2 linked regions of the Lonchura striata genome follow. The protein of the gene in region 2 interacts with the protein of the main gene of each other region in a pairwise test. Links are inferred from orthologs where the notes say so. Each region holds a gene or a part of one and is shown on either strand. Other genes may lie near its edges.

Region 1 (7,922 bases), on a different chromosome or scaffold from region 2:
CTCTCGTGACTGTGATCCCTGCTGGGACTGACCACAGAAGGAACACCAAAGCCAAGGGACATGACTTATCCATGGCTCATGGCTACTCAATGACAGAGGTGGCAAGGGCCTACCACCCTGACAGCCCCTGGATTCTCCAGTCTCCACCCTTCTGGCTCAAAGGAAGTTTTTACAGTGAAAAAAAAATTAAGTAATGAACAAAACACACAGGTTTTATTATTCCTGGCTGCCAGTCAGGACCTTGTGTTATAGAAAAGAATAATAATTTAAAAAGTCAAAATTTGTGGTCTTCATGTTTGTCTGACTTTTGCTCTGGAAGCCTGTTCAGTTCTTCAACATCGATAATTACCCCTACATCCAGTCAAGTCACAGAATGTCCTCAGTAATTAATCCAAGACACAGGCAGCTAAGCAGCAATTTGGAGCAGCATCCTCCTCTCAAGGAATCCCAGCTCTCAAAGCACAACTGCCAGAGCACAGACACCCAAGAACCAGCCAAGGACCAGCGAGGGCTCACAGACCAATCTCACATCAATATCCAGATGTTTTTCCAAGCCACTAATGAGCAGAACTGTTGTGATAAGCACAGAACGGTGTGTGAGGCAGACAATTCAGCCACTACTGGTCTCTCAGTGGGTACAAGCACAGCTGGCTTGTGCTGGATGAGTCCCCAGGGACGCCGATCCCCAGAGCCAACAGGGGATTTGCTCCACACCCACCACTGCGTTTCCTCTGAAGAGAGAGTGGCTTCCCACAAACAAAGGCAGATCTCCAAGAGGATGGAACCTGGGATGGGAACACTCTGTCCACAGAGGCTGAGGTCAAACCTCTGTGTTTGTCACCAAATCAGGGACTCCAGTTGAGCCACAAGGCACATGCAGGTGTGTTCCTGCCTCTGTTCCTGCCGGACACGGGGGCACGGGACCAAGGTGCTCTGGGTCACCTGGCTGCTCCAGGATCCAGGCCCATGTCCATCACCACACTGATTTTGTGCTGCACTGAAAACACAGCTGGCAGCTGCTGCCAGCCCAATGCAAACCTCACTTCAGGAGCAGTGGGACAATGCTCCCAAGGACCCGTGTTCCTTTCGGGAAGTGCAATGGTGTCATCAGGCTGCTGCACACTCTCACGACTGCCAGGACAGCCTGTTCCTCTGACACAGACCACAGCTTTGTTCTGGGAATTGTTTTGGACTCCTGCAACAGATCTGAACATGCCTCAGCCTCTGGGTTCAGCACATGGATGCAGAGGGTGCTGCCACATCTTACCCCCTGCACACACAGCAAGGACGTTCTGCTGCCAAGGACCAGCTCACAGAGCTCACCTGCCCACCAGGGACAGCACCTGAGATCACGGGAGGAGTCACTGCTCCGTGCCCTCCACACACCTTGGATCAAACCCCTGTTGTTTCACAGTCAGTCCCCTTCTCAAGTCCTTAGAAATGATGAGGAGAAATCAGGAAATTTTACTCAGGAGAGACCCAAGACCAAGCAGTTGAACAAACCTAAGAAATTCACAGAAAAATTCAAAAAATACAAGAAGGGGGGAACACAAGCTTTGGGGAAACGAGAATCTTCACTGAGAAGCAGCAGCCCAAGACCTAAGGCAGCCACTTGCCATGAAACTGGAGCCTGTGTGCCTTTTGTAAACAGCCATAGCCCTGACTCTGCCTTTTCACTGCTTTTTTGGAACCGTTCCATTTCTGTAAAGTTTTGAAGCCTTAAAAATTAAGCCATTCTGAGGGTATGGAATCACTGGAGATGTTTTCCACTAGCCCTCTCCAACTGCATTGTAAACAATCACTTCCTGCTCCTGTTGTGTAATGATTCAAAGACAAAAACAAGCCATATTTACTTTCTCCAACAGAGTAATTCCAGCCCTGACCCAAAGCAACTGCAGGGGCTGCCAGGCGTCCTCCTCCTTCTCTCCTCCTGGCTCAGCTCTGCAGCCCAGTCAGCTGAGAGAGCAAAAGGGCAGAGGAAAGTACGGAGAAACAAGGAGCACTTGCAGTTGCCGGCACCAAACTCCCTCACCCCCTCTGTCCCTCCCGGGCTATTTTAATCCTGCTTTCTTTCAACTACTCTGAGCCTCAGATTTTGTTTTCCCTCTGGCTCAAAGAAAGTCTGAGCAATCCACAAAGGCAAACCAGTCTACTCCTAACCATAATAAGCTGATTCTCACCAATTTAACAGTAGGTAGTTACTAAGGGGCCGATTTAGGACTTCACTGGTTTTAATACGTAGCTTAGGAGCACACAGCAGGTTCCCAGCAAGGATCCCAAGCTCCCAGGCTTCAGCTGGTTCTTGTTTGTGCATGTTCCCTTGGCTCGGTCCTGTGGCAGGGGAGGACTGGGTAAGCATTCAAGGCCAGAAGGGTTGTGCCAATATAATACCAAATATTTACAGTTTCCAAGAGAGCAGAAGGGGCTGGATCAGCAGCTTTCAGCAGGCAAAAACTCCAATTTTAAAACTCATGTAGGAAACGCCCTCACCTGCGTTTGGACAGTCTCTGGCACAATATGAGGGTTTTTTATGGCATAAAAGTACCGATTTCAGCATTATACAGCGAGTAAAGTTCAACTGCTACCCCCTCCCCAGAAATTTAACCTGCCAGAAGCACACACCTCTCCCTGCGCCAGCCGGCAAAGGTCAAGGGAAAACAGCAGTTGGTGTTTCCTCGGATTCCGCTGTCGGGTCTGGAGATAGAAATCCGGGACTTTCTACAGTCACCTCCTCACCTTTTGAGCCTCCCCACCACGGACCTCTGACAAAGAGGCGGGGAGGATGCGAGCACTGACTCTGTGTCTCACAACCATCACAGAGGGCGTGCGACATCCTGGAACAACAACCGCCCCAACGCCGACCAGATGGGGAGCGCGGAAGGCGATTTTTGGGGAGGTCTTTGTGTTCTGACAGTCGAAAGGGACACGTGGCCATCACCGTCCCCCCGGGCGTTCCACGGCCCTTTGCGGCCGCCGCCGCGCCCCGGTGACCCCGGTCCCCGGGAGAAGCGGGGACGGCCCGGGGACAGCGCTGCGCTCGGCCGGGCGCGGCGCGGGATGACATCACCGCGCGGCGGCTGCGGCACCGCCGCCCCCGGCCGGGCCCCGCTGCTCCCGCGGCCGCCCCGGCGGGACCCGCGGCGGCCGAGCCCCGGCCCGGGCGGGGCCGCCCCGCCGGGCAGCACGGCGGGGGCGGCGCAGGGCACATCCGCCCGCCCGTCCCTCCCTCCCGCGCGGCCGCTCCCGGCCGGTCCCGGCTCACCGAAGGTGCGGCGCTGCTTGAAGGGCCGGTCCGAGGGCATTGCGGCGGCACCGGGCGGCTCCGGCACCGGGCGGCTCCGTCTGCGCTGGGGCTGCGGCGGAGCGGCGGTGACGTCACCGCGCACCGCCCTCAGGGGGCGGGGCCTGAGCCCGCCCGCCCCGGGACCGCGGGGCGCGGGGCGCGGGGGGCGCGGGGGGCGCGGGGCGCGGGGGGCGCGGGGGGCGCGGGGCCGCTCCGGGGTTGGGCTGGAACGGGCCCTACAGCCCAGCCCGTGCCGCCCCTGCCATGGCAGGGACACCCTCCACTGTCCCAGGCTGCTCCCAGCCCTGTCCCGCCTGGCCTTGGGCACTGCCAAGGATGGGACAGTCACAGCTTCCCTGGGCACCCTGTGCCAGGACCTCAGCATCATCACAGGGAAAAATTCCTTCCCAATACCAATCGAAATCTCACTTCTTTTGTCTAAAACTATTCCCTCTTGTCCTATTACTATCTGCCCCTTTCTTTTTTACAAGCCGCAACATGGGAGAGAGCAGCTGGTGACACGAGGATGGCCGTGACACGAGCCATGGCAGAGCATCCCCATTTCCCGATGGGACATGGTGCTTTATTCAGAGGTGACCCCAAACACAAGCTTTTTTTCCAGTCCTGATGGAGCAGAGGACCTGAGGGCCTTGCTTAAGGCAGCAGAAGGACACCTGGGCTGGGATTTCCAGAGCTGCTCCACAGACAGAGGTGTCCGTGACTCTGGCCTGCGGTGGCATCTTCTGGACATCTTCACTAAAACATCTTCCGAGTGTCACCACCAGCTTTGGGCAGCAAATGTGGCTGTTGTGAGAAGGGTGGAGAAGGAAGGATTGTGTGGGGATGAAGCCACAACAGCTCAGACCAGATTCCAGCCAACAAACCTGGATGTAAACTACTTTCTCACAGATACTCTGACATTTGTGATTCCCATCTACCCCAATCATCTCTCTGCTAACGAGCCCGTTGTTTTCCCTCCTGCATTCACAGCCATGGCTATGCTGAATATGTTAAAGCCTGCAGCATGACTACAAATAGGGCAGCTATTTCTGGAGCTGATAAATGAATCAAAAACAACTGCAAACAGAGCGTCAGTGTATCACCAGGTCTAATATCCCTCCTCACTGCACGCCACAACAGGAGCTGTATCGTGTGGAGCAATGTCTCATTGCTACAGTGAATTGGCACAAAACAGGAGCAAACACAAAATGTTAAAGGATTAAGTACAACCTTGGTAAAAAAAAATACATGAAAAATGCAGTTTTGAAAGAACTGCTCCGATTATTGCGTCACCAATTTAAACAAATATGTGTTTAATGAGAATTGAAGAAATTCTTGTTTCCTTGCTGAGTTTACCCAAGAAAGAAAACACTTACATGCTCAATATAATGGATTTTCCTTGACCAAGCAGTAGTTAAACAAGCACATACTGGTAAGGAAGTATAAACTCTTCAGATTCACTTCCATAATTAAGATACACGTAAAGATATTAATCTCTGATATAGGTCCTGTTAAAAATACTGAAGGGAAAGCAGGAATGTTGAATCAGACATGGCAAGTGATGACCTTTACAGACTTCATCCTCAGCAATGGGGCTTGTTACTGTTGCTATAAAGTGTGAACCTCTTTTCAATGAGAGGAATGTGAAAGTCTTTCCAATTTCATGATGTGGCCCCTGGTTTTATCCATGCAGACCTCACTGCAGGACTGTGGCCATAATTCCACAGAAAATTATTCAGAAACCTGGAAAGGGAGAAAAAACTCCATTTCATAGGACCTCCGGAGCTTCTCAGCATGTTAGTGTACCTCCAGAAATGGGATATGGATCAAATAGTTTGATTTAATTTATACACTTATTCCTTCAGCCCTCAGCTTCCTGAACAATTCAGCACACATTAATGCCCCTCTTGCCTGGTTTTACTGATGTCCCTGGCCAAACTCCTTATTTAAGGAGGTGCATTTGAGATCCCACCCCCTTCTCCCCAGATCAGTCAAAGGTTTAAGGCACCAGCGAGCTGTCCTGACATGACCTGGAATCGACAAGGATCTTCCCGCATGCCAGCATTCCACAGTGCAGCACCACTAAAAACGAGCACTCCTGGATCTTGTGAAACCACAGCAGTGAGGGAAATCTCCCTGGAGGAATCCTGTAATCCTGGTAAAGGAAGTGTATTTTTGCCAACAGAATTGTGTTGATGCCCGGGCTCCTGCTGGCCAAGGCAGTGTCCAAGCTGCTGCCCCTGCACCCCCAGCTGCTTCTGCTTCTCTTGCAGCTGGTGGGTCCCAGGAGCTGCTGTAGCTCTGCTCACTTTAGCCCAGCCTCTCTTGGTGTGAGATCTTTGCCTTTGTCCTCTAGAGAAGTAACTAAGACAAGATGAAACAAATCACAGACTGGTTTAGGTTGGAAGGGGCCTTAAGTCTCATCCAGTCCCACCCCTGCCCATACCTTCCATTATCCCAGGTTGCTCCAAGCCCTGTCCAACCTGGCCTTGGACACTTCCAGGGATGGGGCAGACACATCTGTGTCCTGTATGTGAAGGACACTGTCAGCCACCTTAGGCAGGGAAGGAGTTACTTGGGAGGGTTCTGGAGCCAACACAAATCCACAGAAGGTGTTCACAAGCTCAGCTTTTACAGTTACCTCCACTCTTGTCAGAGCCTTATCTCAGCACAGAGGTAGCACATCCTTGGGTCTCACATGCTGCCCTTCCCAGCCCAGAGCCATGCCCCAAACTCCCTTTCATTACCTTGTTAATCCATCAGGGTTTGTTTTCCCAACAGCAGATGTTTCCTCAGCCTTCGACAGGGATCCACCAAAACCAAAACTGACTTTTCCAAGACAGCAAACCAGGCCAGCCCCAGCACAGAGCAGCTCCAAGATGCAGATGGCATAGGCTGCTCAAGCTTCCTGTGATCCTGGCTAGGAAAAAGGACTAGAACCATAATGCTAATTTTTCTCTCTTCCTCAGTCTGGCAGTAGTTTTACCATACAAATAACCAGGCCCAGACTCACGAAGCACAGGACCAGAAACTGAGCTCCATCTTTCTTTTTGACCGTTTGTGGTAATGTAGGAAAATGACACCCTCCCCTGACTTTCATACATGGAAATTGCTGACAGCTCTGTGACTCTCTAATGGTCCTAATCCAAATAAACTTGAGTTTAGTTTATTAGTTTAGTTACTATTTAGTTAATTACTTTGTTCCATAGTAAGTAAATGATAGTTTTTGTTCTTCAGCTTGCTTCACCTCTTGCCAGTTTTAAAAAATAAATCTGAATTAATTTTGGGTGCTGGTGTAAAGGTGGCACTACATGGCCTAAGTAAGGCCCTGCCCAGATCGATCTGACAAACTCCTTGACTCCCAACCCAGCTTAAGAGCCTTTCATTCAAATTCCCAAGTATATTTCATGCCAGGCTGCTCTCAATCCTGAGAAAAATCCCCTAACCAACCCTCAATCCTCCAACCAACCAGCACATAGCATGAGTTCAGTCATTTCACTGCAAGTTTTATGATCTCAACACAATAAAAAAGGGCCATGATCTTTTGTTTTGCAATAGGTTATTTATTACAGCTTGTTTTACTTAAAACCAACACTCAATACTCTGTCCCAAGCTACTGTGACACCAAGCTACTGGTAGGACAGCTATCATTAAGGAAGTGTCCAAAAGAATGCAGGACACTACAGATTTTTCACTGTTCAGAGAAGTAGCACTGCCACCTACTTGAGAAAGCAAAAATCCATAAGCAGGTCACCACCTCCAAGGAAATATTTCTCTGGGTTACAAACAACAGAGAGAGATCACTGAGGTCACATTTTTCTTCTGCCTTGCCTCACTGTTCAATTAGCCAGACTTCAGCTTGCTGGAGGTTAATTTTTTTGGGAGGCAGCATACAATTATTGCAGATCAAAGGCATTATGTAAACTGCTGCATATCAGGAGCTGCACCAAAGACCAAGCAGGATTCCAGACCCTATTCCCTGTTTTGATGGAATGGCTTAAACCAGACCTAGTGTAAAGGGAGAAGCAGCTCATGAACAGCAATACCTGAGTCACAGGGGCAGCTGGGACACGCAAAGCACTGATGCTACAGGGCTACAGACCCCAACAGGCATTTCTGACCTTCAGGGTCATGGACACCACCTAGCAGATTATACACAGTCCAAAAATTCATGTCCAGGTCTGAAAATGCACAGAGAAAACATGCAGGGTACCTTGGCTGTTTGAATCCTCCCACACCCACCCTTCGCAGGGCTCTGAAAGCCACAAGTGCCCAACTCAACACCAACATTTTTACCAAAATCTCCACAGCTGCAGTTACCATAGCATTCTCCAGCCCTGCTTTTTTTTTTTTTTTTTTTTTTTTTTTTTCCTGAAGAAAAACTCCACCAAAATAACCCCTTGAGCATTTTGGAGTAACCATGTGGTTTTTGGTTTTTTTTAATCTTTAATGGCATCAATTGAAAAGTACTAAAGGAAAATAGGAGATTAAACTGGCTACTGAGCTGAGACAGTGTGAGATTTCCCATGGGTGCCATCAATGGACTTCCTTAGCCATGAAAATTCTGTCTGGAGTGGAGAGAAAGTGGCAGGAAAACACTACAACACAAGAGCCAATTGTGAGTGAACTGCACATGCCC
Region 2 (8,287 bases):
ACCCTTTTCAGAGCCAGCAGTTTTTCAGATTTGCTTCTCTGAGAAACATCCTGAGGAAATGCACACAGGGAGAGGAGAAGAGCAGCTGTTAGTTCCTTCCGGGCCGTGGTGGGTCAGTGCAGGTGAGCACCTCCCGAAACAGAAATGCCCCCCCAGGGGCTGGGGGGCACTGGTTAGGGACCAGCAAAATGCAAGAAGCAGCACTTGAAGTGTAGAGGGATGGCAAATTCACTCTCAGACAGACTGAGCTTCAAGAATGGGCTGACACCTGTAGTCCACCACCAGTGACCATGAGCATTAGTGTCTGCTAAAGCTGATGGCTCATGGGGGTGGCAGCACTGGCAAGGCCACTCTCCTGGCCTTGCTCTCATCACTGCTAAGGGTAGCTTTTGCCAGTCCTGACCCTGATGATCTCGACAGCCACCCTGATGCATGCAGCAGGTAGCCTGGCACAAGCACAACTGCCTGCTCATGTCTGATTCACTGCACATGCAGCAGTCACGTGTGAGCACGTGGGCCTGGCGTTTGGGACGTGCAGTGACAGCTCACAGCGAGACGGGGCTGACAGATGCTGCAAGGTGAGTGTGACAGCCTCTCTGCCCTTGGGGGTGGGAAGGAGAGCCCGGGGCTGCCTTACCGACTGGTCCGTGGTGAGTGGTGTGTAGCCTGTCATCAGGAAGTGCAGCCGGGGCGTGGGGATCAGCGAGGCGATCAGCCCGATCAGGTCATTGTTCATGTACCCGGGATACCTGAGCGTGGTGGTGCTGGCAGACATGATGGTGGACACCTAGGGGAGAGGACAGGGTCAGCAGAGGGTCACAGAGCCTCATGCTGACATGCCAAGGGAAGCTGGGGCATCTGGAAGGGCACAGGACCTTCACTCAGCTCCAGGCTGCCCAGCCCTGAGCCCAGCCCGTGAAGCTGGTTCAGACTAAACTGAACAGAGCAGGGAAACCCCATGCTGGTTTCTCCTGAGGGAAAGTCCTTCTCACCAGCTGGTTGATCTGTGAGAATGACGGGTTCTGAATGTGCAGCCGGTCTGTTGCGATCCGATTCAAGGCTGTGTTGTCCAGAACCACCTGCAAGACAAACCTGGCTCTGTGAAGGGCCCCTGAGGCAGCAAGGAAGGGCAGTCCTGGCTGTGTGTCCCAGGTGGTCCAGCACAGGCCCTGGATGGAGCCCTCTGCACAAGTGGCAGACACTTGAAACCACCAGCTGACTCATGTGTGGCACGTAACTGACACCCTCAATGGAACCTCTTCCCTCCCTCCTGGCTGTGCTCCCCATGCTCTCCCAAAGAGCTCTACCCCTGGGCCAGCACTGCCAGTTGCAGCAGCTCCAGTGCAACTGCTCCTGCACTGCCACGTGCAGGGACCAGCTGCAGGGACCAGCTGTAGGGACGAGCAGTGTCTCGGTTAGACGTGAGCAAAGGCTGAAGGCGCTGCCTGGCTGGGGATGTCGTGGGTGCTGCACAAGACACAGGTGCTGCATTCAGGCAGGGGCTGCAGCACAGAGGAAGCACAGCCAGTCCTCACTGCCTTGGGAACATCTCTTGGACCCAAGGCAGATATGCCAGGCAGCTCTGCAGGGGTTAGCACCAGTGAGGGTCCCTGGAGCCACATCTGCTTGGCCCATCTGTCTGTCTGTTCATTGCTGCTCCCGGGCTCGCAGGCACACGGTGCTGGCCCAGGACGGGCTGCAGTTCTGAGCTGTGGGGACAAGGCTGTCTCCTCAGGGCTGGCTGCACCACAGGCCTCTTACCACACAGTCAGCATTCTGGGTCAGCCTCTTCAGAGTCAGCAGAGAGTTGTACGGCTGGACTACAACATCGCTCATCTCATCCTGGTTTGGGAACACTGAGTAGGTCTCCACCAGTTTCTTGGGATACCTAGTGAGAAGTGCAGCATCTTGAGGGTTAACACCATCAAGCTATGCTCTCCCCTCCCACAGGCTGCCTTAGCAGTCTCCAGGGCTCAGGACAGGGTGAGTCACCAAAGCTGCAGCCAGAGTGGCTCCCAGGGAGGGAGAGAATGTGTCCCAGCAATGCCTACCCCAGCAGCACAGCAGCCGGCTGCCAGAGGAGCTACAGGGAGGCTGAGCCATCCACAGGCTGATTAAGCAGCTGCTCACAAGTATTTTCAAGAGGATGCAAGCTGAAACAGGCCAGGATGGCAGCTCACAGCCTTCAGTCAGAGCCTCCCACCCTCCCCTGCACCGTCAGGGTGTCCGCAGGCAGCTGCCTGATAAGGAGGCTGAGGGAAGGCAGAGCTTGGACAGAACAAGTCCAGTTTCAAAGCCTCTGAAGTCCCCAGGCGTATCAGGAGCCAGCCTTCTGCAGGCAGCGTGCCAGGGATTGCACAAGGCAGTGTTTTGGTGGGGGTGGTGGCTCTGAGTCAGCGCTCTCCAGCTCCTGCTGCAGGCAGGCTGCCCAGGCTGGGCCAGGCACGGGCTGTGGGCAGGGGACAGGGCTGGGCTCACCTGTCATTCAGCCTCTCCAGGAGGTAGGAGCCCAGCCCAGAGCCTGTTCCACCAGCGATGGAGTGGCAGAGCACAAAGCCCTGCAAGGAAGCAGAAGGTGCTGAAGGTGAAGCTCAGCCCCAGAGCAGGCAGACAATGTGTCACCCCTGCTACCTCCAGCAGAGACCTGCCAACAGGGCCAGAGCTCCGTGCAGCAGCTGGGAGCATGGATGCAGCAGACTGACCCCAGCTCCTCCAGACCCCAGCAGCAGCCACAGCTCCTCAGGCCACTCCTGCCCACACAGTGGGACCTGCATCTCTGCACACCCCGCAAAGTGCAACAACTGCTCGGGAGCGCTCAGGATTCCCACCCAGAACAGAACTGGAATAGCTCCAATGTCACCTCTAGGGTCCAGTCCATCCCAGGAAATGGAACTGCATGTCCTCAGCCCTTTCCTGGGTCCTTACACCCCTCCCTCCTCCTAGTCTGACCGAGGCCAAGCTCCCACTGCCTGACTCCAGGGCAGCTCCCACATGCTCAGCTCCCACATCAGGCACTTCAATGTCCTCCATTGTTTCAGTGATGTTCTCCCTTCCCCTGCTGCCATGTCACAGCCTGACATGAACACCTGGCAGCCCTGTCTGCACACAGGGTGTGCATGTTCACATGGACAGCATAAAGAAAATGCCCCACAAGCAAACAGTGGAACAACTCCTGGGGCAGGGTGGCAGATGGAGTGGGAATGGACAGACCCCCTGTTCCTAGATCCCCTCTCTACACGTTCTGTGCTCAGTCCCAGAATCTCACTGAGCTAATCTGTGCCCACTAGAGTGCTGAGCTCAACCTTACAAAGAGCAACCTAGCTGGGAAAACACCAGGCAGGGCCACCAGATCCAAATCCCTTGTTTACTTACTTCCAAACTGTCACTCCCATCAGCCTCTCTGTCTATTATGTCAAAAATATCTTCATGGATCTTTTCTCCCTGCAAGAGAGATCAGGACTGGTTTTGCTCCTTTCCCACAGAACATGGAGAAGAGCTGCTCAAGCTCAGTGTGAGTCGAGTCAGACTGGCAGTGTGGTGCTGTGCCCAGGGTGCCACACAGCACATGGACACAGGACAAAGCCCCAGGGCTGAAGAGTCTCACCCAGCAGCTCTAGGGCTGGTACCTGCGAGAAGCCACTGGCCCAGTTGTTGCCAGCTCCCCCTCCATGCTCAGACAGGTAGATGTTTTCTGGGTTGTAAAGGTTGGCATAAGGGGAGTTGAGGATGGAGTGGATGACACGGGGCTCCAGGTCCAGCAGCACAGCCCGGGGGATGTAGTGCTCATCATCCGCCTACAACGGGAGCAAGAGGATCTCGATGCTGCTGCAGCTCGGTGCCACCTCCCCTGCCAGAGCGTGAGCCACCCCTGGCTGCAGGTGAGCCCCACATGGCCGGGCCTGGCCAGAGGGAGCAGGGAGAGAGAGGCTGCTCCTGTGCTCAGTGCAGCGTCTCTGTGTGTCTCTGTGCCCAGAGCACCGCCAGCCTGGAGTGGGAGGAACTCCGGTGCTTACATAAGCCACTATCTATGGCAGCCACAGCCTCGTGCTTGTGCTCCACCCGCACAGGCTCCGCTCACACACCGGGAGCGCAGGCGGGAGCCCGGAGCGGGAACCGGGGCCGAGCCGCCGCTCCCGCCCGCACGGTGGCGGCAGGGACGCAGCCAGCCCGGCTGCACTGCCGGGGCACAGGGAGCAGGGCAGCACTCGGTGCCCGCTCCGCGGCCGCCCGTACCTGGTAAAAGAAAACGTCCTTGCGGTCGGTGCCCTCGGTGGCGAACTCTTCCACGATGCCCTCGGGGCTGATGCCGTGCTCGGCGCAGAGCTGCTTCCAGAACTCGAACCCGACTGCGGGGAGGAGCGCTTAGACAGACCGAGACCGAGACCGAGACCGAGACCGAGACCGGGACCGGGACCGAGACCGAGACCGAGACCGAGACCGGGACCGGGACCGGGACCGGAGCGCCCCGGTCCGCAGGCCCCGCCCCATCCCGCCTGGCCCCACCCCACCCGTCCCAAGCCCCGCCCCGTCCCGCCAGGCCCCGCTAACTGCCCCCCCCACAGCATCCCGACCCCGCCCGGCGCGCGCTCCCCCGGGCCCGCCGCGGCCGTGCCGCGCTCACTCTGGTTGCCGCACTGGCCCAGCTGCAGGGTGATGATCTCCCGCGGCATCGCGGCCGAGGCTCCGCTCCGCTCCGCGCCCCGCCCGACTCCGGTACCGCCGCGTCTCCCGCCGGCGCCAACGGCAGTGCGCGCGCGCACCGCGCACTTCCGGGGCAGCGCCGCGCACCTCTGTCCGCGGCGCGTCCCGCCAGGAGGTGCAGGCCGCGCATGCGCCAAGATGGCGGCGCGCTGAGCGGAGTCGCCGCGTGTTGCTGGGGGCCGCCATGGTTGCGGCGGCCGTGCGCGCGCGGCGGGCGGGCGGATGTTGACGCCGTGAGGGAGCGATGGCGGCGGCGGCGGGGCCCGGGCCCGGGGAGCGGCAGCGGCGGGTGCAGGCGCTGAGCGCGGCACTGCGCGGCCGCCTCGGGCCCTACGAGGCGCTGCTGGGTGCCGTACAGGCCGCGCTGGTGTGGGAGCGGCCGGGCCGCAGCGCGCTGTGCTGGGTGGCGGTGCACGGCCTGTTCTGGTGAGCGGCGGGCTGGCACCGGGACCGGCACCGGGATGGGGATCGGGATAGGGACAGGGACCGGGACCGGGATAGGGACAGGGACAGGGACTGGGATAGGGACCAGCACCGGGACTGGGACTGGGATAGGGACCGGCACCGGGATGGAGACCGGGATCGGGACCGGGCCGGCAGGGCTGAGCCGGCGGGGCTCGGGGAGCTGTCCCCGGGAGGAGCGGACCGTGAGGGGCCCGGGAGCGCTGGGTCCACTGCAGCCCCGGCCTCTCCGTGTACCCGAGAGCGTTTCAGACCAGCCGGGAGAGCTCAGCCTGCTGTGGCGCTGGAGGGAGGGCGGCTTGCCTGGGACAGGAGCTGTGCAGCAGGGCTGGCCCGGGAGAACCGACACGGGCAAACGAGTCACCCGGCAGCTGCCCCCGGGGCACGCTGCGTGCTGACTGAGTAGCAGGTGCTGAGTTTTCCTCCTGAGTGAGTGGTTTGAGGTTGGTTTGTGTTATCCCTTTTTGTCTCATAAAGATCTGGCCAGTACCAACTCATTGGTTTCTTCCCTGTAGGTTCTTTGCTCTGACTTCCCTTCGTTTGCTGTTCCTGATTGCTGTAACACTCATAGTAGTAGTGTGTCTAGACCAGTGGAAGCACAAAATCTGGCCAGAAATTGGTGGTAAGTTGCATTTTGAGCTCATAGCAGCAAATCAAGCCCAGTTTCCAGCCCCACAACTACAGGCTCTATACTGCCTGCAGTTACATGGTTAAAACCTCAGCTTTTTGCTTTAAGAGTCTAGAAGGCAGCAAGAGTACTGCAGGCATGCTCTTTCTGGAGATGGAGTATTCTAACCTGTGTAAACACAAGTTCTTTTTGTGCTTGTGACACTGGTATTTGTCTTGTAATCCTGAACCACAGGATGTACGTGATCTAGTGCAGGCATGAGACCATGATTCACTTTCTGAGCATTCAGTACCAGGGTGAGAAATGGAAGCATATGTGGAACTCATCTGGATTCCCCCTCAGAATCCATAATCAGTTTAGGATGAAGACAAAGTCTCAGTCTTGCGGTTGATCAGAGATTTCTTTGGGAGAAGAGGCATCTGAGCAGCTGTAATGAAGTTAGTTTCCAGCTTGCAGTAACCAAAGCAGTTGTGTCCCTCCTTTGTGACATTAATACACTGATGAACACCCCCATTCCAAGCAGCTCGGGGTCCCTTGGCTTTGCATGGACAGGTTAGTTTGGAGCAGTGTGAGGGTCTGCATGTTCCCAGGGCTGGTTCCCTGACTAACCAGCAAGTTCAGCTTCCAGCTTTCTGCTTCAATACGTGTTCTCTGTAGTTCCTGGGAAGACATTAAAGCTTTCTCAGTTTCAAAGCTTGGCTCAGGCTCCTTCTTAGGAGACAGCGTCTGTCCAGCTCCCTCATCCCTCTGATTTGATCTCTCAGGGTGGCTGGTACATCCCTTTCAAGTCCCAGCCTGGGTGGGAAAGTATCAAAGGATTTAAATCCCTGGTGCCTACAGTCTGCAGGCTGTGCCTCCTCTGCAGCTGGGGCGTGCAGGGAGTGGGGGAGAGGGAAGTGGGCAGCCTCTAGTGTCCAACAAACACCAAGGAGCAACAGGGAGACTCTTGCAGTCCTGTGCTGTCACACGTACACGCTCAAGATTTGTTATGGAGTGATGCCTCTCCATCCTGTAATTACAGTTAATGTCTTTTCCAGGTGTTCCCCAGCTCATTAAAGCTTTACTTAAATCCCAAGAGCTAAACATTCCCATGGCAAATTCCTTGAAACTAATGTAGTGTCTGTTCTTAATATTTTAGTGGCAAGACCTGATGAATTAGACAATGAGAGGTAGGAAACTAATTGACTCCTCTGCTGTGATACTTTGCTGTGATACTGTGTTGTTACCTGCACGTGCTTGGGATATTGGCCCCTTTGGGCCAGGAGGAGGGGGAGAAGGGAGGAGGGAGCTGGGAGCTGCTCGACCAGAGGGCAGATGGAAACCCAGGTGCAGTCAGGTGGTTGTGAGATGTTTTTGACTTGCCCAAGCCATTTTATTGTACTTTGCCTTCATACCAGCCTCCAGATATGCTTGCTTAACTCCCTGCTGCCTGAAGTTAGAGGTGCTGCCTTAGGAGCAATTCCTCTTGTTTGGGTCTCCAGTAGCAGGAAAACAGCATTTCTGTGGGAATTAATGAAGTCTTTTGAGACTTGATAGGGAATATTTAACAGGCTGGTTCCAGCAGTTGTTCCTGCATAGTTATGATCTGACTGCAGCATTAATTATGGGTTGAGAAATGCTGAGGTGTTGCCTCACTGCTCACACCTGCCTCTCTGGGCACACCTTCCTGCCGCCACTGCCAGGCTGTGCTGGATGTCAGTTCCTGATTAAATCACCTGAGCTGGTGCCAAAGGACAATTGTCTTTATTCATTCTTTTTTAAGAGGCCCAAGCACAAAAGGAATTGCTCTTTCTAAACTTCAGGTACTCATGACTAGCAGTTAGGCAACACTAACAGAACTGACCAATTCAAGGCCTCCAAAGTAACTGAGTACATGAAGTGAGGTGCAAGGCTGCTTCTAGACCTCATGCTGAACACTTGGAGGCTGCAGTTGACCAGATAAACACAGAAAAAGTAAATGGAATCACTTGATTTGCCTCTGCACTGTGCACTCCCTGCAGTAGCGTAGAAACTGGTCCAGACCATTGACTGAAATTCCTGCTCATCAGCTGCTGTGGGAGCACTGGGATGCTGCTAGAGGGGCTGTAGATGAACTGCTTTGGGCAGGGCACTGCTTGGAGGGCAAGTGACCCTCATCTCTAGAGCTCTGTCTGGGTGGGAACAGAAGGAAGCATTAAGACAAGTATTCGTAAGAAGGGTCTTCAACCCTGACACTGATGCAACAATATCTTCCCAAATTCTGCCTTCACTGCAGCTGGGGATACGTCCACCCTCGGCTGCTGGGACTGCCAGAGCTCTGTCATCATTTGGCTGAAGGATGGGTGACTGGGACCAACTTCTTAAGTAATCTCTTCGTTTTCAAGAGGCAAAGTCCTGGCAAGGTAAGAATGTACAGTTCAGAAATAATCTGTTTGGTGTGGAGCCTCTGCTGACCACAAGGATCCTCCTGTGCTGGCATCCAGTACTGGCTGAACTCGTTTCTGGATGGGAGGTTGT

The links.
Region 1: the proteins of RETREG3 (region 2) and MAP1LC3A interact in binary tests that used the Homo sapiens proteins (3 or more experiments, as listed by UniProt). The link is inferred for Lonchura striata from reciprocal best matches to the Homo sapiens genes RETREG3 and MAP1LC3A.

The regions. Positions count from the first base shown.
Region 1 is NC_134619.1:13,500,938-13,508,859, forward strand, and holds the start of MAP1LC3A (microtubule-associated protein 1 light chain 3 alpha), read right to left. Parts: upstream 3,388-7,922; 5' UTR 3,303-3,387; coding exon 3,263-3,302; intron 1-3,262. UniProt on the Homo sapiens protein: Ubiquitin-like modifier involved in formation of autophagosomal vacuoles (autophagosomes). While LC3s are involved in elongation of the phagophore membrane, the GABARAP/GATE-16 subfamily is essential for a later stage in autophagosome maturation.
Region 2 is NC_134627.1:6,273,233-6,281,519, forward strand, and holds the start of RETREG3 (reticulophagy regulator 3), read left to right. Parts: upstream 1-4,931; 5' UTR 4,932-4,945; coding exon 4,946-5,127; intron 5,128-5,678; coding exon 5,679-5,785; intron 5,786-6,929; coding exon 6,930-6,960; intron 6,961-8,045; coding exon 8,046-8,172; intron 8,173-8,287. Other genes in the region: TUBG1 (tubulin gamma-1 chain), read right to left, coding at 638-787, 993-1,079, 1,762-1,888, 2,479-2,558, 3,373-3,441, 3,627-3,794, 4,234-4,346, 4,622-4,670. UniProt on the Homo sapiens protein: Endoplasmic reticulum (ER)-anchored autophagy regulator which exists in an inactive state under basal conditions but is activated following cellular stress.